Tamandua tetradactyla: one gene and its partners. The protein of the gene in region 3 purifies or fractionates together with the protein of the main gene of each other region. This does not show direct contact. Links are inferred from orthologs where the notes say so. Each region holds a gene or a part of one and is shown on either strand. Other genes may lie near its edges. The genes, in order: GPATCH8, AP3B1, CAMKV and NOLC1.

What was found.
Region 1: the proteins of CAMKV (region 3) and GPATCH8 purify together in Homo sapiens (affinity purification with mass spectrometry; 3 studies listed by BioGRID and IntAct, counting the BioPlex papers as one, with this or other methods). This does not show direct contact. The link is inferred for Tamandua tetradactyla from reciprocal best matches to the Homo sapiens genes CAMKV and GPATCH8.
Region 2: the proteins of CAMKV (region 3) and AP3B1 purify together in Homo sapiens (affinity purification with mass spectrometry; 3 studies listed by BioGRID and IntAct, counting the BioPlex papers as one, with this or other methods). This does not show direct contact. The link is inferred for Tamandua tetradactyla from reciprocal best matches to the Homo sapiens genes CAMKV and AP3B1.
Region 4: the proteins of CAMKV (region 3) and NOLC1 purify together in Homo sapiens (affinity purification with mass spectrometry; 3 studies listed by BioGRID and IntAct, counting the BioPlex papers as one, with this or other methods). This does not show direct contact. The link is inferred for Tamandua tetradactyla from reciprocal best matches to the Homo sapiens genes CAMKV and NOLC1.

Annotation. Positions count from the first base shown.
Region 1 is NC_135332.1:22,912,068-22,919,910, reverse strand, and holds the start of GPATCH8 (G patch domain-containing protein 8), read right to left. Parts: upstream 3,013-7,843; 5' UTR 2,796-3,012; coding exon 2,751-2,795; intron 1-2,750.
Region 2 is NC_135347.1:53,554,614-53,562,353, reverse strand, and holds the start of AP3B1 (AP-3 complex subunit beta-1), read right to left. Parts: upstream 3,013-7,740; 5' UTR 2,867-3,012; coding exon 2,739-2,866; intron 1-2,738. UniProt on the Homo sapiens protein: Subunit of non-clathrin- and clathrin-associated adaptor protein complex 3 (AP-3) that plays a role in protein sorting in the late-Golgi/trans-Golgi network (TGN) and/or endosomes.
Region 3 is NC_135341.1:36,199,720-36,206,626, reverse strand, and holds the start of CAMKV (caM kinase-like vesicle-associated protein), read right to left. Parts: upstream 3,006-6,907; 5' UTR 2,800-3,005; coding exon 2,754-2,799; intron 1-2,753. UniProt on the Homo sapiens protein: Does not appear to have detectable kinase activity.
Region 4 is NC_135339.1:64,002,487-64,009,785, reverse strand, and holds the start of NOLC1 (nucleolar and coiled-body phosphoprotein 1), read right to left. Parts: upstream 3,020-7,299; 5' UTR 2,845-3,019; coding exon 2,725-2,844; intron 738-2,724; coding exon 682-737; intron 575-681; exon of another isoform or gene 546-574; coding exon of another isoform or gene 532-545; coding exon 395-531; intron 292-394; coding exon 164-291; intron 1-163. Other genes in the region: PPRC1 (peroxisome proliferator-activated receptor gamma coactivator-related protein 1), read right to left, coding at 4,643-4,746, 5,041-5,192, 5,400-5,521, 5,640-5,706, 5,813-5,956, 6,847-7,299. UniProt on the Homo sapiens protein: Nucleolar protein that acts as a regulator of RNA polymerase I by connecting RNA polymerase I with enzymes responsible for ribosomal processing and modification.

The DNA of each region.
Region 1 (7,843 bases), on a different chromosome or scaffold from region 3:
AGTACAGCTACATAAAATATATAATTGTCAACAGAGATAATACAGCAATTGTCAACAGAGAGTCTTTAGCTTATACCATGCTAGAGTATAACCAGATTGTGCCGTTTAACAGCTGTGTGTACTTGGCCAAGTTACTTAACTCTCTGAGTTACTCCATCTAAAAATGGGAGTAATAACAACACCTTTCTCCTAGGGGTATTGAAAAGATTATGAGATAATACACATAAAGCCTGTAGAACAGTGCCTGTTTATTATTATAATTATCAAAAAAATTTTTACGTATGTCCATAACAATTACTCCATTAATAAATGCTTCAAGCAGCATACAGGATTCTAGCTATATTATACAAAAATACCTCTGAAATCAACTTTAGGTGTTATTTCACAAAATCTAATCAATGAGCCCACCTCTCTGGCACATGAGACAATACTCAAAACCTCTAGCATTTGCACGTGATAGTAAATGGGCAAAGAATGAAACCCTAAAATTCTAAATTATCTTCCCAAAGTAAGAGTCATTTAGAACTTACCAGAGAAGACGGTATAGGGAAATTTCCAGTGCTGTAAGATCTGTTTAAAACAACAAGATCTAACCACTGTTTGGAAACGAACTTTGGATTTGTTTCCGAGTCTATTATCACAAACAAAATAGCCACAATAGTCAGTAGCTTCACCTTGTTTACCACTTAAAAACTTAAAAGAAAGTCACATTTAATTTTGAATAACCTGAACTTGAAAATGTTTCAAATACACTATATGCAGATATGTCCTATTACATCACATTCTCCTCTCCAAGAACTGTAAATAAAGGCACATCATTTGTGAAAGTCAATCTATATTCCTCAGGAAAAAAAAACACCACTTTAAGTATTTTTAAATGAATGTTTTTATAAGTGTTAGCACAATAACTTATAAAAGTTTTAATATCTCATAACTGTCTAAATGATTTCCATTCCCAATACCCAATTTATCCATAATGGCAGGACGTCTGAATAAAAAACATTTTTCCAACTGATCAACATGACATAAACCCAACTAAAGCATCAGCACCAGAGGATCATCTTACCAAGAAATTGGGTATTGTAAAGCTAGAAGCTAATCTTTCCCATTTCCCAGGAGATAGCATTCATATTTTGCTATTCAGTTTTCAAAAGCTTCTCTCAAGGCCCTGCTAATCCTGTGTGTATGTATGTTTTGTTCTGTTTTGAAGCCTGCTGGAATCCTGTGGTTGACAGCCATTTTTCCTCAAAATTTAATTGCCCACATTACCTATTTTCAATTTTATTAGGTCACCTTGAAATTCTCTCCTCTAATAAGCACTTGGGTTATCAATCTGTCTCTTTAAAAATTACCAATAAAGTCCACACCTTGCAGTCTAATGCTTTACCGTACTTGCTAAAAATAACCTTTTTCAGGCATCAGAACTGCTTCAAACTAAGCTGGACCTGCATTATACCCTTTAAACACCTGGAGACCCTGTATTTTCTGCAGCTATTCAACAGGCACATGATCATAAAGCTTTTCAACAGCCCCCAGATCCCTTATTGCCGCTAAACTTCACATCTATGTACTAGACAGTTAACAGTATATTAGTTTAAAACTGCTAGACTGCTTTACCTGTCTATGTACTAATGCAATCATCTCAGGAAATTCAAATCCCTCAAACTGCCTTTTGAAACACGTGTAGCATATTCCCATGTTGCTTTGAGGAAGATCTGCAGTGGAATTAAAAACTTGAGTTCTGATGTTCATCCCCTGACCCAAATTGTTGTTGCCAGGATATGCAGCAGTAATGCAGTTGTTTCTTTGAGACCCTGAGGACATATTTTATCCCAGAAGTACCCAATTTCTCTAAATCTCTTTTAGTCTCCCAGATTTCCACGGTAACGATGCTCTGTAACAGCAAGGTATTTTAAACAGCCAAAGGATGAATTATTCTAGTTTGGCTAGAATTTTTTCCTCAACAATTTTTGCAAGGACGTTTCTCCATACCAATATCCGCAACTGAAGAAAGAAAAATCAAGCTTTTGGTACTAGTTATTAAAAGCTTGGAAAGCCCACTATCATAATGCTTATTACAAATCTTTTTTCAAGGTAGGATTTTCACTTGATCGAGTTTACATGGGCTGTAGTCCTATAACTTACTGTTTTTCAAACCCAATTAACAGCCTAATAACAACAGCAACATTTATGCCCGGGGAAATCTCAATGCTTGACTAAGAACGCTTTGATAACCAAGACACTCTTTTCGGGTGCGGAATGGAAAAATAAGGCTATAAAATGGATTTATTTATTACAGTGAGAGAGGAGCGGAGAAGCACCCCCAAGAAGATCCGTGTGAGCAAAATCCAAGGGTTTGGGAGCCCAGGCCTCAGTAGCACTCGCCGCAAACCTTCTCAACCCTCTTTTCCCCTACGAGTCAGCCCTGCGACCCCACAGACTTGGCAAACTGGAGAGAAACACAGCCCTTCACCCAGCTCGCAAGGCTGGAGTTCCAAAACTCGAAGCCCAAAAAGGCCCAAGCCGCAGAGCTGGCGGCCTGAGTTTTAAGAGGTAAGAGAATGCACGGAGATGAGATGCGGCCTCGCCTCAAGCTGGGAGGCCCCTTGAGGAATCGGAGGCGGGAGGAGAACGAGTCGGTTCAGAGGCCGGAGCAGAGCCTGGAAAGAAAGAGATCTGGGAGCCGGGGATGAAGGAGGTTCCGGGCTCGGCCGCGTCTTCCCCGGCTCCTCGGCGGCGCCCGTGTTTACCTGAAAGTCTCGGTCTTCGTTGAAGCGGGAGAAGCGGTCCGCCATTTTGCCGCCTTCACTCCTCTCAGGACGACACTCTCCGGTTCGCTCCTTTCCTCACGGCAACACCGCCCCCTCCGCTCTCCTCCCCAGTTCCCCGCCTCCTCCTACGCCCACCGGGCGCGCGCAAGCAAGGGAGAGGGGAGGGAACGAGAACGCGCGTCCTGACGGGAGACCCGCCGGCGCAGGCGCCTTCAAGCTGCGCAGGCGCCTTCAAGCTCCGCAGGCGGTACCCTCCCTCAAGTCCCTGCTGCGTGCACGACCCAGAGCGAGCTCGGCGGATGCGCGTGCGTACTCGCGCTCGAGGCTACTAAAGCTTCCGGAGGGAAAGGTCAGAGGTGCGGATGGGCTTGGCTGTTTTCCACCTGCCTGTCTGTCCGGTGTGAAATCTTCTTTTAGCCATCTGTGTATGCGAGGTCCACCCTCTACTTTATTGTCAGCAGCATGAAGTAGTGGATGCAAGCGCAGGCTTTAGAGCTAGACTTCAGTTTCGAATCCCAGTTCTCTCTGAGGGCTAAAACGGTGACAGTCTGTAAAGATCCCTTCTCTTTTAGGGCTTACATTCCAATGGGTGTAGTCAGATAACTAATAAAATCATTATATAATTTTAAATTTAATTTAATGAGTTGTTAAAAAAATGAAACTGAGTGCAGTGATGAGAGGGACAAACCTCTGAAACGACCTTTGTCCTGAGGGTCAGAAAGGAGCCCGCCTTGTAAGGTCTTGGGCAGAAGGAATATTTGACCCAAAAGTCCTATGACGGGAAAAAGCTTGGCATTTTCGAGCAACCCTTTGAGATAAGTATTATTTCTTAAAGGACTGAAGTTGATCCAAATCAATTAAAGTTCTCTGGGCCTCAGTATTAAGAAAAATGAATTTAATAATCTCTAGGCTTCTGCTCAGCACCGACTTTGTGTGATTAAATCAGATTTTCCCATCCTATGACCTTCCTGGTGACTCCACCTGGCCCTCCAACACCCTTAGCCAAAATACACAAAACACAGGTTTGGCAGGACATCGCTGCTTTTGAAAAAGGGTGGCTGACAGAAATCACACAATGGAAAAAATGGCCCTTACCCTTCCCTGAAAAAGTCAAATGGAATGTAAATGTTTGGAGGAAGAGTGTGTATCTTCTATTCCTTTGTTACCCTCTGCCCTACCCCAACTCCAGCCCAAACAATTATAAACAGTCAAAAGAGCTCCCCATCTAATGGGAGATAGAACACACAGAACGCTGTAAAGAAACTTGAGGATAAACGTCACAGATTGAATTATATAGACACACCACACATTTGCCTCCATTACCTCTCTAAACCCCACTAAAATGATATTTGAATAAAAGAATGAGAAGGGCATGAGTTCATATGTATAGAGATCAGAAGGGATAACAGCAGATGAGATGTCAACCAAGTTTTGGAAGCTAGAGAACATAGGAAATGGAAATGGCTCTAGTAAAGAAAGCTAAAAATAGAGGAAACCAAGAAACAAGCTGATTGACACTGAGAAGTACCAGAAAACCTTCACGTACCTCAGAAGGTGAGGGTATGGATGAGGCTGAAAACAAGAGGATTGGTTGCAAGGCATTTTACAGAGCAGTTAAAACCTATATCTCCTTCTCCCCCCAGGAGCAAACTGGAAGTTTACTCTCTAGAAGGGCTGAAACAGAGACTCTGGACTTTGACATGTCTGGCACAGCTGAGGGAGGGAGTGCCGTGCTTAAAAAATGGAAGGAGTAGGTGAAAGCCTACATTTTGATTAGAGAGACCTGGCACTTGGGTTTCTAATCCTGGCAAAAGACCAGAGGATCCCTCTATGGGGAAATTGACTGGCATAGGGGAAAAAAATGTACAAGTACTAGCAATGGTGAGGGAGGGATGCCTCCTATAAAAAAGAACATGTTCTTACCCATTTATCCCACAGAGAAGCTAATCAGTCAGCAAATCCCACTCACAGTTTCCACCCAGTTCTTTAATGCCTCCTTCCTATGATTACCAGGTATTTGAGGGAAACTTGTACCAGGAATGACACACACACACACACATACACACTAAAAGAAAAAAAAAAAGCAATTCAGAGAAACCAGAGATAATGAAAGGAGTAGAAGAAAAATACATCAAAAGAATCGTGATGATATCCACAGAGACATAAGATCACATCAGGGAGCAAAAGAAAAAGAAAATCCATTAATGAAGAAAGAATATTTGGAAATTAAAAATTCTTAAGTAGAAATGAAAAATGCAATACAAGGGTTAGAAAATAAATTAAGGAACTCTCCCAGGAAACAGAATAAAAGAACCCTAGTTCCAGCCACCTTTGCTTTCTCCTGAATTATTGCAGTAGCTACTAAATGTTCTCACTGATTCCATCCCTGCTCCCTATACTCTGCACAGCAGCTGTGGTGATCCTGTTAAAAAAAAAAAGTCAGTCGATTCATAAAAAGTCAGTCTCCTACTCCAACCCTCCAGTGATTTTCCATGTCATTCACATTATAAAGTCCACCTACCACTACCAATTTACCTCTTAGACTTCACGGTCTATTATGTCCCCCTGCTCCCCTCTTCCCTGGACACACTGACCTCCTGACTATATCTTAAACACACCAGGTCTGCTTCTGCCTTTGCCTGCCCCACCTTCGGCTTATGTGTATCCTCGTCTTCCTACTTGGATCATTCTTTCTCAGATAAGCACATGGCTGCTGCCCTCATCTTTCAGTCTTTATTCAAATGTTATTTTCTCAGTATGCTCTTTCCTGATCACCCTATTTAAAATTACTGAGCCACGTGTTCTGAATTCCCTAAACTCTTTCCCTGTTCTATTTTTCTCCACAGCACTTATCCCTTTCTAATATACTTTATAATTTACTTACTTATTCTGCTTATTATCTGTATTCCTTGACTAGAGGTCAGAGATTTCTCTCGGTTTTGCTTCCTTCTATGTCCTCAGTATCTACAACAATGATTGGCATATAGTATGCACTGCATAAAGATTTGAGTGGGTGAGATGGAAATAGGAGAGAACAGATAACAAAGTTGGAGGATAGATCCCACATCTGAACAGTAGGATTTCCAGAAAGAACAGGGGGGAAAAAGAGGATAATAAAGAAATAATGTGAACATTTCTTAGTGCTGAAGGACCTGAGTTTCCAAACTCAGATGGCCCAGCACAATGTATGAAAAATAACTCACTGCCAGGCACATTATTGTGAAATTTCATGAGATGTTTCACATGGGGCAAAGAGAAATTCTTAAAGAGTGGGGAAAAAAATAGGTTGCATATGAAAGATAAGGAAATGTAATGGTGTTGAATATCTCCAAAACACCAGAGACAAGTAATGCCCTGAAAATTCTAAGAGGGTGGTTCCCAACCTAGGTATCTACACCCAGGCAAACCGTAATCAACTGTGAGGGAGAAATATGAGTTGTTTTTTTTTCACCTGTATGCTCTAAAAAAGAAAAAAAATACTTGCCATGCACCATTTCTGTGGAAGTTACTGGAGGATGTTTTATGGCTAATGCAGAGAGTAAAACAAGAAAGACTTAAGATCCAGAAAGCAGGTAGACAACCTAAGAAAGAAACAAAGGGAATGCCCACAGTGTCATTTCAGAATAACAGCAATGGAGCAGGCCTAACAAACACCCAGTCCAGATGAGGACATAGGAGGACAGAGGGCCCTAGAAAGACTGTCAGCAAAACAAACAAACAAAAAATATGATAGCATACCTAGTGGGACTGAAAGTGAGGAGATTTACACTTCTCAAGAGTGGTGAAAATTCATGATAGGAATATAGAAAACTAGGCACATGGTGGGGAAAGGCAATTGATAAATTCAAGAGAGAAAAATTGCCAGGAAACAGTGTAATCATAGTAATCATACTATGTGACGTGGCTCGATTGTGAGTAAAATTTATAGTCACAACAATATAAACACTGAATATTCCTCCAACAAAAAATTTTTTATAGAAGCATATTGGGGGAATGTGGGAGGAGAAGTATATGTTTGGAGGAGAGGGGGGCACTTTAAGACAACTAAACCTTCCATGATAGGAACTAAGTAGATAATGTCTACATTTTAAAGAAAATAAGAAATATCAGTATAAGCATATTATTTAGAAATAAGAAATATCTAGAAATAGTCATGATAATAAAAATAAGGGGAAAAGAGCTAAAAGAGTTGCCTCCAAGGAACAGGAATTGAGGCGGCAATTCAGGAGTGCAGCTGACCCTAGGAGAGACTTATGTACCACATGTGGCAGCCCTGGTTGCACAGGACGAGGAACTGAGAGGCAGAAAGCTGGAGCGTGGCACGGAAGCACAGAGTCACGGAGCCCCTGGGCGTGCACAGATGGGAACACGGGACTAGGAAGTAAGCCAGGCCAATGCGCTACTCTCACAAGAGCAGCCCCGTAACCGTAACTAGCGATTCACCCGCACCCCACGCACCTGAACCCCCTCTCCCGCTCCCATTCCCCGAGCTCCAGGCGCCCCCACCCCACCAACCCCCACTGCACGTACCTGCCCTACACCCCCACCCCAATTGCAGCCCAACCGACCTCTCCTGCACACCTCCCGAGCACTACCTCCCCCTCCCTGTTCCCTGCAGGCTATTGCCAGTGCATAAAGGTTGCATGCACTAACCTCCATACCTAGGCTACCCCTGCCCCCCACCCAGAGTGTCGCACAGCCTCACGCCCCCTCCATGAGCTCAGTGCATCCGCCATGAGCTCAGTGCATCCGCATCCGTTTACTGCACTCCCAGGCCCGCGCAAACGCACAGGCCCCCAATCACATCACTCAGCTCTGGGAACCGCACTTAACAGTGGTTCTAGAACTGCACATGTGCACAGCCCTCAGCCTCACTTCCCAGCTCTGAGAAAGTGCCAACCTGCATAGCTGGGTCACAGCTGCCACCAATTCACAAAGGCATAACATGGGCCTATTGCCACAACCCTATGCATGTGCACAAACGGCCCCGTGCCTCAAAGTGGCGCATACCAGTGTTACACCCCCCAAACGGATGCACCTGCACAGCTACATCCTCTCTGATGGCTGGGCGC
Region 2 (7,740 bases), on a different chromosome or scaffold from region 3:
CTTTAAGTCTTCCCAGAGAAAGATTATTTGAAATAGGAAAAATAATAGCAATACAGTAGAAAAACTGGACAACCTCTTGACCAGAAAAATTAACATCAAGAAGATCCTATGCCTCCAGATGTAATAGCCTAAGAAGGACACATAACTTATGGTAGAATTCTGACCAGGGATACATAACCTGAATCTAATCGCAAGGAAACACCAGCAAACCTAAACTGATTAACCCATTATAAAATAACAGGCTTGTATTGTTCCAAAAAATTAAAGTTATGAAAGGTAAAGCAAGGCTCAGAAACTACTCTAGATTAAAGAGATATGACAACTAAAAGCAATATGTGACCCTTGACTGGATCCTACACGAGAAGAAAAAGATGGTGAAAAAATAATAACAACATTATTGGGACAAATTGGGAAACTGGATTAAGGACTATAGACTTCACCAATGCTAAATTTTCTGAATATAACAGTTCTGTGATTGGGTAAGAGGATATTTTTGACCTTAAAAAAATACACACTATGGCATTAAGGGATAAAGGCACATGATGAAAACTTGATATGAATGTGTGTGTGTGTGGAGCATGATAAAACAAATGTGGCAAAGTGTTTAAAAATTGGTGAATCTCTGAGTAAAGGGTATACAGAAATTCTCTGTACTATTTTTGCAACTTTTCTGTAAACCTGAAACTATATCCAAGTAAACCATTAAAATCAGAGCGAGAAACAGAGTAATCTTTAACTTTTTCAAGTGAATTTTGCCACGATTATCATCGTATTAAACCTGAGAAGTAAAAAAAAAAAAAAAAAATCAAAGTAACATCACCATTTTATAAATTAGAGAACACTGGCTCAGGAGAGATTAAGTGACTACTTCCCAAAACAGGGGCCTCCTTGTTTTTGTGCAAACCTTTAGATTGCAGTTCATTGGTCAAATGTTTCTAATTTCTGGAAGCTTCAAGGTCATACACTGTCTACAGCTGCTCTTCAAAGCTTTAAATTTTTAGGGAGTTCTATGCATTCTCTAATACTGAAAGCAACATAAATTTCATCAAGTAATAAGTAGTACATCCAAATGCTTGAAAGTGGGCTGAGATTAGAATGCCTGGGTTTAAATCCTAGCAATATACTTTGATTTTCTCATCTGTAAAGTGAGATCAGAGAAGTGTCTGTGTCATAGGATTGTTTACAGGACGTAAAGTGATGTGCACAAATACCTAGCATCTAGCAAGCACTCAATAACATTAGATACTTTTATTTTAAATAGAACCTGCAAAGCCACCTCAATAACACTGGTCACAGAATTGAAGACAAATATATTTCACAAATAGGCCCAAATCTGACAAAATAGAAAATCAGAGGCTCTAAAATGGAAAATATCTTAGATGTACACAAAGTATTCATCAAAGTATACAAGTAAATTAATTGTAAGCAAATTACATGCCAAATAAACGATGCAAATTTGCAGGTTAATTTGACAGGCAAAACTGTAACGGAACTGTAGAAATGCAACAAGCTCCTTGTTAGAACGCTAAATAATCTCAACGCACAGAATGAAAAATGAAATCAGATATTTTACTTTTAAACATTTCTACCCATGATCAAGGGAAAACAAGTAAAAGACTATTCCACATGCAGCCTGTAAGATTTCAGTGAGTTTAATAAGTCAAATCTTAATTCCAATTTCAACTTCTAAACACTTTCTAGACTACCCAATCTTATTAGTAAAGTTTACATTTTAATTACACCCTTGTGACACCTGCAAAGCTACCAGCATAAATATTTTATCTTAATTCACAGTAATCTAGTGACAAGCTAATATGTGACCATATTGATTAGTACTGAAAAATAAAAATTTATAAATGTAAAAAACGACCACAATAAAATATAAACAAAGCTTCTAGGATTCTGTAAGTCTATTCCTTTTAAACCCCTCCGCCAATAAAAATAATTGGCTTTTTCTTAATTCATTTATTTATAAATTCATTAGTTTAGTAACAACGTTTTATTCCATTTCTCAGTGGCACTCAAAATATTTTACCAACTTTTTACAAAACCAAGTGTACATTAATGTTTTTAAAAAACATTAAAAACATTACCTTGTAAAAGGTACCTTGTAAAAGTTTCTGATTTGTTCTCAGTAACGCTCTTTTTAAATATTCTCTACTCATATTTCCATTGTTTTGTTTAGAATTGGTTTTTTTGTCTGTAAAGGATATTGGCCAAGAAGATTAAAGCTTGTATAAAGCAGTTTTTTCATTCATAAAGCCCCTAAAATCACCCCCTTTCCGATTCACTCCAGGATCACGGAATAAGTCTCCATCAGCAAAACTCACACTCATTCCCATTTCCAACTACCAAAGAAACTCCTTTCACCCTGACAGGACAATTTCTCAACGTTCGGTCCCCGAACATCAACTCGACTAAAAGTGTTCGTTCAAAATTCAGATTCCTCTGTCCTAGCCCAGACCAACTCAGTCAGGGTCTTTGGGGGTGGGGACAACCTCTCCACAGGGGGTTATACCAAAGTTTGAAAACTACGAGACCCTCACACTCCGGTGCGCTTCCCACACAGCCCACGGACGCAAGCCCACCCCTCACCTGCCCGCGGGGACAGTCACCGCCCAGCTCCGACCAGATCTCCGGGCGCGCCCACCCCTCTCCCGGGAGCCCCCGCCCGGGGCCCGCTCCTGCGGGATCCCGGGCCCCTCATCCGCCCCAGCGCCCCAAACCATTCTTCTCACTTCTTCAAGTCGCTGCTAAAGAGGCCAAAGGCGCCCGAGGGGGCAATGGCTGAGGTCGCCTCCTGACCCAGCTCCGTCGCCTCCCCCCCGCCGGACTGCTCATTGTAAGCGAAGCTGTTGCTGGACATGGCCGCGGCGATGGGGGTGTATCGAGCGGGTGCTGCCCGGGGTTCTCCCAGAAGGGCTCCAGTCCCGAGACGCGGAACAAAACTACTTCTGGCGCAGAGGGGCGCGCGCAGGCGCTTCCGGACTCGTCACGGTTTACAGCGGACCCGGCGGGCCAGCCCCTGCGCATGCCCAGTGCCCAGGCTGGCCCGAACCCGGCCCGCTCCAGGCCTGCCGGAGCTCCCACTCCGGGTTTTTGCGGTGGCTGAGTCCGGGCTGTGGCCCCCTGGAAGCCAGGCTGTGGGCTTGCTGCGGACTTTATTTGCGACTTCGTGGGGTTTTTATTTTTCGGAGAGAGCTACCCATTGTATCCATTTTGATCTCAAAAGGAGATTCCTGGCCTCGGACATCTCTTTGCTTGACTGTTCTGCACACCAGTAGCTTTCATATTTCTCCCGAAATGCCCTTTAACCTGCCAGATCAATTTTCCTAAACTCGTCGTGAATATTTATTTATCTTTGGTGTGACTCTTTCCGCTCCTCCCTCTCCTGCCCGCGTGCCTTTCCCTCCACACCCCAAGACCTCCTCTTCCAACAAACAGCCTCCCGTTACCCGCCCAGCGGTGCAGCGCCCCTGGGCAGTACCCGGCAGAGGGTCCCCGCCGGCGACTCGCGGCGCTGCGGGGAAGCCGGTCACTCCAGTGTCAGCCCCCGAGCGAACGGCCCGGCGCCCGACGCCCCACCCCACTAAGGGAGGCGGCCGGCGGCCTCAGCCTGCCAGAAGGAAAGCAGAACCAGCTCGCGCGCCAAGGAGTGGCCCGTCACTTGGGCACCTCCTTCCCTCTTCCCTGCGCCAACCGTCCGCTGACATTAGGGACCCCAGCGGAGGGCTCTCATCGCGGGTGCGGGCAGCACCCAGCTCGCCCTCACGGGTGGTTTAGGGCCTCCGCTCCCCCTCCCCAAACTCCTCCCTCTGGGCAGGTTTTAAAACCCAGAACCCGGGAAGCCAAGTCCTGAAACTGTCACGGGACCCCCAAGATCGCTGCGGGGGTGAGGGGGGGTGCGGGAATGGGAGGGAGTGAGTGCGTAGGGGGCAGTGGGGCATGGTGGGGGGAGTGAGTGTGTAGGGGGCAGTGGGGCATGGTGGGGGGAGTGAGTGCGGGGAGGGGAGTGAGCGCGTAGGGGGCAGTGGGGGGGAGTGAGTGCGTAGGGAGCAGTGGGGCATGGTGGGAGGGAGTGAGTGCGTAGGGGGCAGTGGGGCATAGTGGGTGAGTGCAGGGGGGAGTGAATGCGTAGGGGGCAGTGGGGCATGGTGGGGGGATTGAGTGCTTGGAGGGGAGTGAGCGCGTAGGGGGCACTGGGGGGGAATGAGTGCCTGAACTGTGAACCTCTGAAGGCCTCTGGGAGGAAGGGGCAGGTGGGTGCAGGGTCAAGGACCAGCTGTGGTCCTCAGCTCCTCATAAGGCTAAACTCTTACTGTGGAAACCCGCAGGACAGTGGCTTTGCGTAGGAGGAGAGGAAACGTCCTCCAGAATTTGTTTAGTTAAAATTTGTCGGATTTTTAATTCAGTTGTTAGAACACGTCTCCAGAGATGCGATAATAGATTACCTAAAATCTGTTGATTGTCAATACTGATTAATGGAATTAACAATCATAGATTACTATGTATTGTATAATATTGAATATGTAACAGGCACTATTCGAAGTGTTTTACATCTGTTAATTCATACAGTGCTGTGAAAGTATGAACTACTGAAATTCAATGAAGAACAAGCTAGTATATCCAGTAAAGTTGCATGTATTCTATATACAAGAAATTCTAAACCCAAGTATCTGTAAGAGATTCTTTAGCATATATTTATATATAATATATATACACACACACACACATACACCAATGTCCTCTTTTAAAGATAAAGGAAACCAAAGCCTAGCTTCTGTTACTGTTTAATGAATAAACATATGTAGATCACTTGAGTCATTTTAATTCACTGCTTGATTTTTCTGCTAATATTTTATTTGGCAATATTTTCTTTTTCATGCAGATTCATGTAGGATTGCGCTACAATATTTTTTGCATTGTCCTTGAATATTAAACTACAATTTTGGGGCACTATCCTTGTACAGGGATTAAGGTTCTATAATCCTCAAAAAAATTAATTAACTTTCTGTTTGTCTTCTCTGGAATATAAGATGCAAAGTAAATAGTCCTTGAAAAATAAAGCTTACTTCTATCCCCCCCCAAAAAAATGTGATGAGAAGCTACTTAGGGTCTTATATTAGTTCGTTCAATGCTACCAGACAGAATGCAACATACCAGAAATGGAATGACTTAAAACGGAAATTAATTAAGTTGCATGTTTACAGTTCGAAGACCATAAAAATGTCCAACTAAGGCATCCAGATAAAGATACATTGACTCAAGAAAGGCCAGTGTCTGGAGGGAACTGTCTGAAAATGTAGAGCAGTGTTCCAGTAGCCATGTTTCTTGAAGATGATTGTATCATGATACAGCTTTCACAATGTGACTGTGATTGTGAAAAAAAAAAAAAAGAACGGCCAATGTCCATCAGGTGGGAAGGCATGTGATTGGTGTCTGCTGGTGCTTGTTCCTGGTTCCATTGCTTCCAGCTTCTGATGCCAGTGGTTTCCTCTCTATGCATCTGTGGGCCTTCACTTAGCTCCTCCAGGACACAACTCTGGATTCCAGCTTGCTTGGCATCTCACAGGAAGCCATGTGACAACCCTGCTGGACTCTGCATCTCCAAACATCCATGTGTAGGTATCAGCTCTCTCTGTCAGCATGCCAAGCATCTCCAAATGTCTGCATCTCTGTCAGCTCTGAAGCAACTGTTCTCCAAGCATCTCCATCTGAGGTTTCTCCTAAATGTTTCTACTTTTAAAGGACTCTAGTTAACTAATCAAGACACATTGAATGGGCTGAGTCACCGCTCAATCTAGTAAAAAAAAAAGCCACACCCACAATTGGGACTGTGACATTTCCATGGGATGATCTAATCAAAAGGTCACACCCAAAACGAGTGGGTCAATCTCCATGGAAAAACTCTAGCCAAAGGTTTCCACCCTGCAATATTGAATCAGGATTAAAAGACATGCCTTTTCTGAGACACACAATGCTTTCAAACCAGCACCGGTCTCTTACTTCCTTAGGATTCTAATACTCTACTTAAAGAAATATTAAAAATAGTAAATTCATAGGGTGAGGACTAGTGTTCTTATCTCTTCAGAATACAAAAATCTAACTTTCTGATTTCAGTTTCTGTTCATCTGGACCCTCATATTAATAGTTAACTTTGGCTTTTTTAAGTTTCAAGCTTTTTTTAAGCATTAAAAACAAATTTGTGTATATTTTTCCAAATATCAGTAAAAACTATAATACCACTCATCTTGCTTTTTTCTCTTATTATGAAAATCTTTCCATATTGATTTATATATGGTTCCCTCATTGTTTTAAACATCTATATAATATTTCATTTTATAGCTGCATCTTTAATCAATGTTCTATTAGTAGACACATAGGTTATATCCAATTTTAGAAAACAACTTTTCCCATAGTCATCTCCATATAATGGAAATAGTATTTACATAAGTTAAGATCCTAGAAATCCAATAGCTAGATCAAAGGGTATACACCCTGAAAAATTTGATAGATATTGCCAAATTTCTCACCCAAAACAGGGTAAACCACAATCCTCTATTTCATCATATGCTTTCCAGCAATGAAGACTGTAAATCTTTTTGTTTGCTAATCTGACTGGGGAAAAAAACCCATTATTGTTTAAACTTGCATGTCTCTTATTATAACTAGGGGAAACGTATAATTTCTCCAAACAGGAAACTTTTGATATTGAAATAAGACATGAATCCTAATTTGAATTTTATTTTCTATTAATTATGTGGCTTTGGTGTTTGCTTAATTTTAAGTTATTCATCTTATTGAATTGTAAGCACACTTCATAAATAGTGAAACTTTCTCATTTTTTTCTCATTATTAATAGAATCTTAAATTATTAAGTGAACCTTTTTCTCTTTATTTTCTAGGAAAGTATAAATTATTAAAATTAATTTTAAAAGATTACAAATTATTAAATTTATTACATTATAAAAGTTGATTCAAAAAATTCAAAAAGCTGCAAAAACCTGAATCAACTAAATAACTCTAGAAAAAATTGGAAAAGCTGAACAACTGGAAAAATCTGACACCAAAAGTCACTAAGAGCAATACAGTTCTATTGCGCCAATAAAGGGTCTGCTATTTCTGTTTAACCTATTATGAATACTAAAAAGGAGAAGGTCAAACCACTTCCCAATTCATTTTATTAGCATAACTGATATACAACACTAAATTTTTAAGTACAAAAGAAGGAGAATTATAGACTAAATAAAATTCTATGCAAATATTAAATGATGAACATGAAATAACTGAGTAGATATTTTCTATGATAAAATTTTCCAATATTAAAAACTTGTTATACTTACATTAATATTTAAATGCATTGACTGACTCTTCATCAGCATTTCTAATTGAAAAAAATAAAAAAATATAGTAACTTGGAAATACAAGAAAATATTCTTACCATTATATATATATGTTCTAGTTTGCTAGCTGCCGGAATGCAACACAACAGAGACAGATTGGCTTTTAATAAAAGGGGATTTATTTCGTTAATTCTTCACAGGAAAGGCAGCTAACTTTCAACTGAGGTTCTTTCTTACATGGGAAGGCACAGGGTGGTCTCTGTTGGCCTTCTCTCCAGGCCTCTGGGTTCCAACAACTTTCCCCGTGGTGATTCATTTCTGCATCTCCACAGACCTGGGCTGAGCTGCCAGTGCTGAGATGAGGTAGGCCGAGTTGCTGTTGTGCTCTCTCATTTAA
Region 3 (6,907 bases):
TATGCATGCAATGAAATACTATTCAGCCATAAAAAGGAATGAACTTTGAAAACATTATGCTAAAAGATCACCATATGATTTCTTTGATATGAAATGTCCAGAATAGCAAATCCTTGGAGAAAGAAAGCAGATTAGTGGTTATCAGGGGATGGGAAGAGGAGGGAATAGTGAGTGACTACTTACTGGGTATGGAATGTTCTTCTGGGATGACAGAGTTTTGAAACTAGAGAGAGTTGGTGGTTGCACAACATTGTGAGTGTACTAAATGCCCCTGAATTCACTTGTGTCAATTCCACCTCACTTTAAAAAACAAAACAGGCAGTACTAACATACTGTCTAGGGATATATACACAGTAGTAAAACTGTAAAGAAAAACTAGGAAATAAGCACCAAGAGACAGATATCAGTTACCTCTAAGAGAAAGGGAGGGGTTGTGAGGTAGTAAGGACACATGGGTGACCTGGAGAGCCTATTTCGAGACTATTTCTGAATCTGAGTGGTGGTTACACAGGTGTTACATCATAGTAATCTGTAAAGATGTACATTTTTGTGCACATTCCTAGATTCTTGTTATATTTCATGATAAAAAATATCAATAAATCCAGTAGCCATGTTTCTTGAAGATGATTGTATAATGATATAGCTTTCCAAATGTGACTGTGTGATTGTGAAAACCTTGTGTCTGATGCTCCTTTTATCTATGGTATGGACAGGTGAGTAAAACATATGGATTAAAAATAAATAAATAATAGGGGGAACAAATGTTAAAATTAAAAAAGATATATATTGGACAGATGGAAATACTAATGGTCAATGAGAGGGAGGGGTAAGGGGTATGGTATGTAAGAGTTTTTTCTTTTTCTGGAATGATGCAAATGTTCTAACACATGGTCATGGTGATGAATATACAACTGTGTGATGATATTGTGAGCCATTGATTATATACCATGTATGGAATGTTTATATGTTAAGAATGTATGTGCTTGTACATTGTTGCATCAAAATATATATATATATATATATATTAATAAAAATTATGGCCATGATACTGTGGAATACTTGGTAGCTACTGAAAAAAAGAAAATAGACTGAAATGTGTTGTTGTAAGGCAGTCTCTGAGGTATGCTGTTAAGGTGATAGAGCAAGGAAGAGAATGGTGGGTAGAGTATACTGCTATCTGGGTACCGTTTTTAAAGTTTGTATACTGGTGTACACTCACAAACTGTTTTCTGGAAGAACATCTAAGAAAATAAGAGTTCTCTGTGGGGCAAAGGATTGGGTGTCAGAGGAGCAGATTTGTATCTTTGGTTTATTAATTTTCGGTTAGAATTTTTACTGTTATATATGATTACTTTTATTAATTTAATAAATATTGCATCAGGCATGTTGCTTAGGGGATTCCTCCAACAGAGAACCCAAATCTGGTGAAGAGGTAAGGAAAGACTTTGAGGAAGAGGCAGCATTAGTTCTGGATCTTGGAAGGGAGGGATTTGCTAGGATGCACGCAGGGATGATGGCCAGGAAGAGCAAGACAAGCTTCCCCGGTGCCTCACTGCTAGGGTCCACAAAGGGCTTAGGAAGTTAGGTCCTAGGTGGCTGCATGCAGATGGCTCAGTGGGCTCCAGGCAGTCTGTGCTTCTGGGGCATAGTGCCCCATGCGTCTACACCCCTGCCAGCTATGGTAGAGTCCTCACCTGTGGTGCTGGGTGGGCTGGCTCCAAAGTTCAAAGGACAGCACCCCCTGTCCTTGTTCCAGAGATAAGTTTAGGGTGCAGGGGTGGTGGTAGCAGAATTAGTGTCTGGAGCTTTGCCTTGCTGCCTCCACAGTGCCTGGTTAGCATGGCACTGGACCTCAGCAAGCTCTGCAGTGAGGCTACATTGAAACTGCTCTATCGTGCTGTCTGTACATTTTCTCCCTCTATACCGATTAGCACTTGCTTTGCACAGGCCTTGGGCTGGAGCCTTAGATACCTAGATGCTCACCTACCTGGAGGCACTCACAGCCTCAGGGTAGTGGAGACGGGAAGAAGCCACCCTCTTGTTCTCCAGAGGGGCAGCTTGGGCTTGAGGGACTCTGCCAGCTGGGGTCACAGGCCAAGGCCCAGAGAAGCCCTATGACCCACCCTGGCAGAGGGAAGTCCCAGGGGTGGCATTCCTGGAAATTCTCCCTCAAATCTGCCCTCACCAGCAGGGAACAAATTCCATCATTCCCTCGTCTGGACTGCTTGGGCTCAAGAAACGCAAGCACATTTCACCAGCCTCACTTAAACCAGGGCTTAAGCCATCTTGTGAGGCATCACAGAAGCAAAGAGAAGCTTTGAAGATCGTCCCCGACTGATTGTCTTTGCCACCATGACCACAGCCCTGCTCCCACGTCTGCAAGGGAGGAGTGTGTGCTGGAATCCTGCTCTTGCAGCTGAGAGCAGTGACAGTCACCCACCACTGCCGGCCACCCATCTCCATGTGAGAACAATCTGGGGGAGGGGACGCGACCCACATCAGTCCTTTCAAAGACCCTGACGGGCAGCAATTCCCTTCCCGGGCTAGGATCTGAGGGCCATATATAGGGCAGGAGGGTGGTACCCCAGCCTGAAGGATCCCTAGGAGGGGCTGGGAGGGACCTGTGTCCCAGCTCTGTTGCATTGCTTACACTGTTCCCTCTGGCGAGTATGCCCTTCCCCCAAAGCCTCCCTTCAGAATCCTATGATTTGTCACAGCAGAGTTATTTATAACATTAAAAATTCAGCAACTACCTAAACGTCCAACAACAGGTGACTCGTTAAGCTCAGCTGTGTCCATTCAATGGCAGGAAGTGTGGGCACTAGCAAGGGTGCTGCCCACCCCAGCTTCCCTGCAAAGCAGCCTCCACCTGAGCAAGGGCTGTGACCAGAGCTGAATCTCTTCTTTCACTGTGATTTCTGACGTTATAAGGTTATTTGCACAACAAATTATCTAAAACAAACCTGATATTCCAAAACTGGACAAAACACCCCTCTTCTGAGACACCGTCCTCCACCCTCCACCCTCCATCCTAGATGTTAACAGCTCCCAGCCCTGCAGAGGTGGCTAAGTTTGCATATGTTTGCAATTGTATGTCCCCACAGCTCGTTGTCATGCATATGCACTTGTGCCACTTGGGGGTGATGGGGAGGAGGCAAGGCTGCTCTTGAGATTTATCTCTACTGCCTGGGCCTCTGCTCACAGTCACAAAGGCCCCTGAAGCCATGTCCTACAACACTTGCTTGGCCCCTTCCCCAGACCTGGCCCCAAGACAGAGAGGGGAGAAAGACCTTCCACCTCTACCCACTCTACCTCCTGCTCCCTATGGCTGCTGCCTAGGAGACTATGGGTCTATGCACCAAACCCCGGGTACCTGCCTACATTGAGGGGGGCCCTGGACTTGAGGCTGGGAGAAGCAGCCAATGGCCAGCTCCAGGAACGGTGGGAGGCCAGGCAGAAAGAAGTTGCATTTCTCAACCTTTCCCCCCTCCTCCCCTTGGCCTAGACAGCCCAGACACAACCCCAGGAACATACGCTCTTGGGTCTATCTCAGATCCACAATAGGATATTGGGGGGCATAGGAGCATCACAGAAGCAGTTTATCTGTAGATGTGGCTCTCTCCATTAGCTGCAGAGAAACTGAATGGTTGCAGAGGGGCCTACCCAAAAGGATCTTGCAAGGAGCGGAGAACCACTGTGCTACAGCTGACTTTAAATTCTTCTCAGTTACTGCCTGACCCTTGGGCCTAACCACTGAGCCCAGGGAATTGGGCCTCAGTCAACTCTGAGTGAGCCTCTACCTGTTGGCACCCAGGTTGTAAAGGGTCCTCTTGGAGCCCCATGGCAGCCTTCGGCAAGACTGGCCCAGGGGAAGCTCAAGTGAGCCAGAGGCCAGCTCCAGTGGCCCAGAGGCACCATATTCAAGTCCTACTCTACCTCCAGTGGGGTCAACCTGGTTCAGGTCCCACCTTTCCTACCCATAAATAGAAATATCCTGTTATCCTGATTCCTTGTCCCATGTGGGGCTCCAGAGCTTGCAACAAATCTAGGGAGGCCAAGAGAGGCCCAGGAGGCCTCTGACTGCCTGACTGTGGGAAACACCTCCTGATTTAGTGGCAGCTGTGAATACCAGCCTGCAGGCACCCCTTACCCTCCCCTGTTCTCCTCTCTTTCTCACAGGCTGGGGCTGGATTTCCTGTTACAAAAGATAGGCCCCAACCTGTCTAGCTCCCAGCTGAGACCTCATCTACAAGGCCAGGGGAGATGGGGGCCTCACAGGTAGGGTCTTGTGTTAAAAGGCAGAGCCAAGCTTCTAGCCCACAGACCAACTGCTTCAGGGGACTGGGTAGGGAGCTGCCCTGGCTGGGCTCTGGGCTTCAGCTAAACCGTAGTTGACAGTTCCCAGGGTTGATTCTCTCTCTTCTAAGGAGGAATTGTGCAGGGGAATTATATTCAGTCTTGGGGGTGGGCATACAATCCAGTGCTACCTCCAGAAAATTCAGCCTTCAGCCTGCAGGCAGAGCCAAGAGCCAACTGGCCTCTCCAGGTACCTGGGGTCCCAATCATTGAACCCCAGAAAGAGAGCCCACTGGGGACCCTGCTTTCCTGTGGGTGGAGGAGGGGAAATGCATACGAAGGTGCTGGAGTAAAAGGATTGCTACAGTGACAGAAGTTTTAAAACAAGGGAGGGGGTGAGGAAAGAGGTATTGAGTAGGCCTTCTCTCCAAGAATTCCCTTGGACTTTAGTTTGGCTCCTTCCTCTGGGGAGGGCCTATGATCCCAGCCCCATCAAGGAAAGGGAAGGTAGGGGTCTGAGAGCCCGCAGGAATGAGAAGGACGGATACACAGGGAGATAAAGGCAGAACCTTTGATGGATAAGGAACAAGAAGACAACAGAGTAAAAGGGGCACACGCGCAAGGGAGAGGATGGAGGAAGTAGGCCGGAGGTTCTGATAGGATCTATGGGTGCCCAGCAGAGCCCTAAGGCCTCCGTGGCCATGTGCTCTGACCACCTGGGCCAGGAGCTGCCCCTGGTATCTGGATCTTCAGGGCTGAACTCTCCTGTATCCCTCAGATACACAACGAGCTTAGTGTGGAAGACACAACCCTGGCCCCGGAGAAGAGGCTAGTCGCAGCCCCCTGAGCCAAGCATGGGGGGGAAGGAAACAAGGCTTGGAGAGCTGGCTGTCTCCCTCAATAGCCCCTCCTCTCAGCGGGCCCAGCTCTGCTTAACCTGCCCAGCCAGTCCCACCCATCCACCCGTTTGCTGTACTCTCCTAGCCTTGGGTCTCTGGGGCCCCTCTTGCAGCTCAGCTTAACCTCTCCCACAATGGAGCCCTGGCAGGATGGGACTAGAAGTGGTTCCACAAGAAATCCAGAAACGGTATAATTGCACAGTCGTCCCCCGACCCCCAATCAATGGCTCAGTTTCCCTAGATATAGATCAAAGCCTCTGTGGCCTCCTCTCCCCACTGTCTGCCTGCCAATGAGAGGTGGCCAGATATGGAGCTGGAGAGGAGGGGCGACAGTGTGAACAACAGGCCAGGTACCTGGGGAACCAGCCCAAATGCTGTGAAAGAAAGGGAGAGAGACCCCTGCCCCACTCTGGAGACTATCCTGGCCTGGAGGAAAGGGAGACACCACATGTACCATTTGAGAAAATTGAGACCCAGCAGGTGACTAGAGCTGTCAAGAATCAACTCTGAAATGGGGGGGGGGGGGGGGAGGCCGGGAGGTCTCTGCAGGTGATCCTGGGTCTGGAGGTTGGGGGGAGGCAGGACAGGGGTTAGACTGCAGCAGGCTCTGAGCTTTTGCTGAGGGACAAAGGGACATGCTATCTAGGAGGGAACCTAGTTGAGCAATCTCTGCCCCGTGGGGGTGCGGACAAAGGCAGTTTAACAGAGCTCCTTGAGCTGGGGTCTCTGCCAGTCACCACAAACTGGGAAAAACAGCTCACCCTGCGCCCCTCTCCCCTCCAGCCAGGGACTCCTAACCTCCACGGTGGTGCCACCCTGACCCCCATCCACAGCACTGCTCGCCCCCGCTGGCACAGCACACACATGCTGAGCACACGTGTGAGCATCAAGCCCCGCACCCCCTAGCGGGTACATGTGTCACCCCCACCCCCACCGCGCACGTGGGTCTGTGCCCTGGACCCCGGTTGGACCCGTGTGAAGGTTCGGCAGCTGGATGTTGGCTGGGGGTCCGCCAGTGCCCAGGGGCTTGGAGCCTCCTCCCCCAACCCGCAGCAGCCCCGCCCAGCCCCCTTTGGGTTGTCGCCAATAAAGAACTCTCCGTTGTCATGGAAATTAGTGACTGCTCAGCGGGAGGGAGGGGGCCGGGGGCAGTTGGGAGGGGCTGGATGCGGCTCTGTAAACGAGGACGGACGTCTCTGCCCTCGGGCCCCCAACCCCAATGGGGACCACGAATCTTGAAGGGCTAATGTTTTCACAATTCGTAGTCCGGCGACGGGGGGGAAGGAGAGGAGATGCGCCTGAACTTGGGTCGCAGAGGCTTCACTTCCACCCTGACCCCCGGGCAGTCCGAGGGGACGGGGAACTTTAGTCCGACCCCGCACGCCACCCCATGGGATCTGCAGAGCCCCCGCGCTCCACCCGGGTCGGGACACCTAGCCCTCGCGGCACCCCCGCGCACTCTGCATCCGGAACATCGAGCCAGTGGGATCCAATCCCCAGGACCCCCCAGCGTGCGTTCGGGAGGCGCCCCCCTTCCCCGGCAGCCCCGCACCTGCAGCGCCGGTCCGTCACGGGTTGGAAGCTACCGCGAGCTCAGTGGGGCGTTTGGGGCTCCGGGGGCGGCGGGCAGAATCTGCTCCGGACACGCGGGGCAGACGCGGCGCCAGCTGCAGCCGCTTCGCCTTGCGAACCTCCAGCATCGCCCGTCACTC
Region 4 (7,299 bases), on a different chromosome or scaffold from region 3:
TACACTTCACATATTGATCATTGCTCAGAAAGTCCCCAGGTTCTTCTTCATAGTTAACCTATTCCGCACCCACCACCACCCCTTGGTCACTAGAAGCCAGGATTCTAGGTTTCTTCCTTTCTAAACTCTTAATTAACTCCCTTCCCTTCTTAAAGCTGCACACCTGGACAGACTTTTTCTTTTTCTCCTCCTCCTCCTCATCACTGGATTCTTCACTGCTGCTACTTTCTGATGCTTTGGCCACAACCTTCCCAGATTGCTGAGGCAGTGTGGTCCGCTTAGCAGACACAGCTGAACAAAAGCAGAGATCCAAGTAAAAATTAGGCACATGGTACACACTAACCACAAATCCTTTTCCCGGAATCACCAATCACAACCTCCTGCCCTGTCTTACCCGCCTTTTTAGCTGGAGGCCCTTGGGTTTTTTCCTCCTCACTGCTATCCTCACTGCTGTCACTGGATGAAGTCTTCTTAGCCTTCTTAGTCACCGGTCCATTTACCTGTAACTTCCGCTTTGGGGCCTTAGCAGACCTGTTGACATACATTAGACTAACTTCTGGGGATCAGGACCTTCCTAAACCAAGGAACACAGCCTAACAAGGAATAAAAAACACTGAGGAACACAGCTCACTCAGCCCGCCACAGAGAAAAAATAGCCAAAGTGGAAGAGGGAAGGCTTACTTGAGCCAGAAGCTATAGATATCCAAAAGGGAAGAGGCATTGGCATCCTGCTGTGTCTGTAAAAAAAAAAAAAAAGAGAGAGAACTGGATAAGGAAATTTTATTCTGGTTCTTCAAGGAAGGATCATGTTTTGCGTTATTCTTTCATTAAATGTGACCTATTAATCCCAACTACATTTGGTATAAACGGTACATATTACTATGTCTACTTGCACAAATCAGGAGAAAAACATCTGATCTATTTGCGTATTTCCCAATTTTGGATACCAAATACTTGGGCTATTCATGAGATTTTTATGGCACCATCACCACCACGTATATGAAAGGCTTAAAAGAACATGCATTTCCTTTATTCTACCATTGTCTTATTTGGAGTTTATCCTTACCCATGAAACAAGGAAATTAAACATTTATACAAGTGGGTGTTTTTGGCAATGTGGTTTATAATACCAAATCACTGGAAGAGAAGATTGGTAAATAACTGCTATACAGACAGTATAGAATTGCATTCAATTATTAGCACTCATATAGATTATAAATTGATTCCAAAAGATGGTAAGGCATTACAATACAAACAAGAGTGCAGATTCAGTCAGATAACTATAGATATGAAACCACCTCTGCCAGTTATAGCTGTGTGACTATGGGCATATTACCTAATCTCTCTGAGACTGTTTTCTTCTCTAAAAAAAGGAAATAATACTATCCATTTCATTAAATTGCAGAAAGAATAAGAGATAATATGGGTGCATGGGGGGTTCAGTGGCAGAATGCTTGCCTTCCATGCAGGAGACCCAGGTTCAATTCCTGGACCATGCACCCCTCCCCCCCAAAATAATACAAAGAATAAGAGATAATGCATGTGAAAGGGCTTAACAGCTGGCCCCTCACTATCCCTCCACAAATATTAATTTTGTCTTGTAAAACCCAAGAATCCTGACTCTGAAAGGCCCAATTACATCCAACCCATTATGGAAATTTTCTTTGCAGCCTCCCTGACATTCAATTCAAAACTGTTCCAATAAGAAAGCAGTTATATAAGTTTACATGGTACTGTGTCCCAGCTAAGGAAGTTCTTTCTGAGGTTGAGCCAATCGCCCTCTTTCACAGCCTGGTTCTGCTACAAAAACAAGACTACCTTCTTGGTCGTGTAATGTCTACACTGCAAACTACCACTCTAATCTCTCTCCAGGTGTTTCCCCAGGGTGCTCTTCCTGATATGTGGATTCCAAACCTTTCAGATCCTGGTCATCGTCCTCTTATATATGTTTGGAACAATTCTAAGTTATCATAGCTAAGGGAACAGCTTTCAATCATTGATGTTTCCTGTACAGAACTTAGTATATATCATCTTACGGAAATTCACCAAAAAAACCCCAAAGTGGATAACAGCATCTCTGTATAAATAGAAACAGACTCAGAGAGATCAAGCAAGCTGCCTAAGCTACACTCTACTAATGGTAGACCTGGTATCTTTGCTAAGTCAAAGATCCACCGTTACGTTTGCTTGATAGGGCTATGAGGTTCAATCCTTCTGCTTCAGTATAACAAGAGCAGAACCCTGCCTCTACGCTAATTTATTTTCTTCTTTATTAACGAAAATTCTAGCCTTCATTTCTGAAGCAATTTCATTCACCTTGAGTCCGAGGTAAATGAAGTCGTCAATTAGGTCAAGTCACGCTCTGTCTCAGTCAACTAAAAGCCCACCAAGGGCCGCCAACGATTTCGGTGGGGTACGGTGACCCTTCATTGCAGCACTCCGCCAACCCATGTGACTTGGGCCACGCGGGTCCCATGCTGCAGCCAATGCACCGCTCACCAAGAAAAAGCAGCAAGATTCAGTACTACCTATTCAGACCTCGAGGAAAAGGAGGCGCGACGCTCCAGGCCCTCTGCTGCCACCGCCGAGAGCTCGGCACAAAGGCCTCCGCAGAGACCAGGCGGGCAGACCCCAGAGACTTTCCTATTCGGAACCCTAAGCATATCAGGGCCTGGAGTCTTGTGGTCGTCCCACCCTGTCCAGTGCCCCAAGCTCGGGACTTACAACGCCTGTCGCCTTGGCGAACTTGTTTGCCACCTCCGAGAGCTGGTTATCGCGCAGAAAGCCGAGAACGAGGGGATACAGATCGCTGGGAAGCACGCGGCGCAAGCCGATGTCCGCCATATTCCAGGATACACACGTCACTACCGTCGTCGACACAGTGCTACTTAGAAACTGCAGGAGGTAGGCAGGCGCCCTGTAACGTCATTACGCCGCGCGGGCGCATACCGGAAAGGCAGGTATTCCACAGAGCAGTCCCGCCTCCGTGTCGGAGGCAAGGTCAAGGCGGAAGCCGAAAACTCCTTCCGGTCCTAAGCGTGTCGTCTTCATGGTAAGGGCGGAGCTCGCGGTCCGCCACTTTGTGTGGGCGGAGCCCTGACGTAAAGGCCACGCCCTCGGCCGTGGCGGGAAACCTCGGCGTTTCCCGCGCGTTACACTTTTGTAGGAGGTTCTTTTCTCAGAGTATCGGCATTCCGGTCTCCAGCTGGAATTGGTATTCCACAGTAATGCATGGGCCGCCCGGTTCAAGCTGTCCTTTACTCCCTAGACTTGGTCACAAACCCTCCCAATTGTCCCCATTCAGTGGGTTCCCCCTTCATCTTCACTGCCTCCAGCACCCAATGAGACACTTTTCTCAGATACCACTTCAGCCTCCAAACTCACCCCTCCGTTACAAAGGATTCCTCAGGTTATCGGTGGTGGTTGTTGATCCCCCAAACCACCCGACAGGATCTGTCCCTGCACCTCCCGTAGATATAAGGCAGCTCCCCTCCCATTACTTTTTCATCATTAGCTCCATGAAGAGAAATCCTGCACCCAACCCAGTCACATAGCAAGTCCTAAAAATAACTCCGCTACCTCCTGGATAAGAGTTCACACTGTGAACTAGAGAACTGCCGCCCAATTAGTTACCATGAGTAACTAATATAAAACCTCGGGTTCATAAAGAAATTCCAATTTCTGCCATATTTCAGTTCACATTAGCAGGCAGCAATCCCTTCAATCCTACCAACCTTCATCACTTTCCATTAATGCATTACATCAGGAAGGGTAAGAATCACTTCCTCATGGGCTACCCCTCTACTCTACTTTTCTCAAAACAGGCACCCCCCCCAGGTGTAACTCCGTGTCCCTGTTCCCTAGAAAGAAGCTGGCCCCATCTGTCCACATGCATGTATTCTTTAAACACCTGAGCACTTTCTGTGCACCAAACATTGTGCTCAAGCTAAAATGGTAAACAAAACTGAATGGTTTATGTAACCAGAGATCCAGTTTGGGGAACCTTTATTTGGAATAAGTTTGACTTTCCTTAGGTCTTTGCTATTGCAGGCCCTTCCTGGACAGCAGCAGGAACATCCTCTTGTTAGAAACGCAGATCCCATCCCAGAAGGTCTAAGAATCTGCATTCTAAAAAGAGCTCCCTATGATTCAATGACTTTGAAGTTTCAGCACTGACCACCATGACTGATTTCTCAAAGAATACATTCAAATCCAGTGGACTCTGCACCTGACCAGAGAGGTCCTAGGATCGTGATGGAAATGAGCATCTCCCTGGTTGTGTTTAAAGAAAAGTGAATATATTTGGCACTAGCACCACAGAAAGAAACACAAGAGCACTTGGGAGTTCTCTCTAGTTCATTTTTATTAGTCTGCATAGTGATTTAGATGTTCCAACAATGGGCGAACCCCTCAGCTCCACCCATTTTACACAGGAATGCAAGTTAACTTGTTTCAATACCTGTTATAAAAAACAAATACCCCTTTAAAAAAATCTGATTTTACACATTTTTTATTTCACTTTTTTTCCATTTCTTTACAAAACAGTCATCTCCTCACTAGCAGCTCTCTCCCCTAGAGTGGGGGAGGTGGGGTGGAGGAGGTTGGGCACCTCCGAAGAAAAAAGGGGAGAAAGGGCCCAGGGTTACCTCCGGAGGTTCTTCTGGGCCTGTTTCAACAATGTGTCAAAGTCAAGAGAATCAAATTTGCTCTTTACAGGGGCAGGGTCAAAGTCTTCCCGGTTGGAGTCTATAAAAGGAGAGAGACCAGTAATTTCAAGATTATGAGGTCTCTGACCGTCACTTCCCAAACACAGGGTCCTCAAATGGCCAGCAACCTCCCATCCCAATAATGGATGAAGCTTTAAGTGTCCTGATTTTCTGTCAAAGACACCAAAGCCCCCACTTCTCCTCTCATCCCACCCCTTAGGTTCTTCATTTGTCAGATGAAGATAAGTCTGCCTAGCTCCACCCTCAAAGGGTTGGGACCACTTCTAGGAAGGTGATGAAGAGTGCCAAAGCCTCAGGCCCTCTTTCCACTCACCAAGATCGGAATAGCTCCTCTTGCAAAACTGTCTGCGGCCCCCAAAGCAGAGATCAAAAGGCTGCTCATCTGCCTGCCGCAACTTGTGGCCGCTCTCAATGGCTGCAAATGCCTCCTCAGCATAGCGGTAAGTGACGAAGCCATAGTTGTCACTGGTGGGAAGGGTGAAGCATGGGCTGGAGTGGCCACTTGGGCACAGGTTGACAGAGTATCTGGGGTGGTTTCTTCTCATTACCCAACCAGCCAACTCTCTGACTGAGGAAATAAAGGTGTCCCAGAGCAAGGGGAAAAAGACAAAGAAGCATCAAGATAGCTAAATGGGACAGAAAGGACATCCTAACCTTAGGGCAGAAGCTTACCCTTGGACACGGAAGTGAATGGTGCACTCCTCAATCTCTCCAAAAACAGAGAACCTCTGTTTCAGCTCTGACCGAGTCATGCGGCCAGGTATCTTCCCAATGAAGACCACCCTTCTCTCTTCCTATTTTGGGACAAGGAAAATCAACATACCATGAGCCAGGACAGTCAGCTGTAGTTGACTCTCTAAGCTTGTAACTCAGGGGCAAGTCCAAGGTCCCATCACCTGTTCCTCTACTCACTATTGCACGCTCCTTCTGCAGGACTCTCTGCCTTTGGTAATGATCATGTGAACGATAAGAGCTGTACCTGACAGGAGGAAAAGGTACCATCAGCCCCTAGACATACATCAATTCAAGACTCGAAACTTGAGGTACCTGCCCAGGTACCACTGACATCCTATACACACGCTCACCGCCGCCTCCTGTCACTTCTTCGGCGAGGGGATGGAGAGCGGGAACGGCTGCAGGAACTGGATGAGGAAGACGAGGAAGATGCAGAGGAAGATGACGATGAGGAAGAACATCTTCGGGAACGTCCAGAGGAACTGCAGCTGGACCTGGAGAATAAAGGACCATGCAAAAATGCTGGAAGTGGTACAGGTATACTCCACTTGCATCACCCCGGCTCCTGCCCTGACTTCTCGTCAGAAGGTTCAGGACCAGAGGTAAAGTAGAATAGAAGAGGTCTAGAACAGTTATCTTCACAGATAAACAAAGTATCTGGACAGAAATCATTTTTATTTTCAATTGTGCAATTCAAAATTGAAAGAGTTATCAAAAAGAAAATAAATGGAAACCTAGAGAGATAAAGGGCTGAGCCCTAGGTCTCTCTGTGGTGTTGGGAGCCAGACCTGAGTCTCTGGGTTTCTCCTTCTTTACCATATCTCATAGGACTGCTCCACTATAGAATAAAGGGTAGGTGACTGTGCTAGACTTATAGTAGGGGCCACTTCTGAAGATATCTACCGCCAACAAAAACCAAAAACTTCACTGATTAAGTGGGAAATTTTGGATCTGTTATTAAAAGACACCACCAGGAAATAGATGAGGCACCCAAAGGACTTCGGGAATGACTGTTTCCAATGAAGAATTAACCCACTCTTCCACCTTCTCCCATACCACCAGGAAAATGCCATAATTGAGGATTGATAAAGTATGTGAAGGAATCAACATGGTCAAGAGCAAACCCTAACAGTCTCCTCAAGGCATGTCTCAAGGAAGCAGGAGACCTCAGGGACAACCCAAACTCCAACAAAGAATGGAAGCTATCTTCCCACAGTTTGCCTCCTTCAACAACTCAGGAAAGGGGGGAAAGACAAAAGCCAAAGACAGAAGTGGAAGACCTAGTGCCTGAAAGTATCAAACTTAATGTGCAAAAGCTTTCAAAAGAAACCATTGTACATGAACTTCCTAAATGGAGAGGACCTAACAGGCCATCAGAGCTCACCTGCGCCATCTCTTGTGTGGGGGGGAGAGGGACCGGGACCGGGATCGGGATGAGGAAGACGACGATGAGGATGAGGATGCTTCGCTGGTCCCGTTGGACCCAGAGCTGACAGAACGGCTGCTGCGGCCACGGCGGCCCTGCCAGCCCCGGCTTGGGGAGCTGGCTGATCTGCAGGCTTTTCGGTAGCAGCGCACTGACCGCTGCTTGGCTGAGGACTGAGGAGTCCTAGTGTTCATGTCATTCCGGCAGGGTGAAGCCTCAGGGGACAGCAAGGTGGATGGGGCAAGGCAAGGGGTTGGGGGGTCTGCCTGCTCATTGCTAGTCCTGTGATCAAGTGGCTCCTGGGAGGCAGCTGTGTGTGGGGGCAATGGGGCAGCTGGGCCCAGAGACAAGACCGGCTTGATGGTGATGTCCTGATGGCGTTTGACGTTCCATCGGGAGCCCACCTCTGGA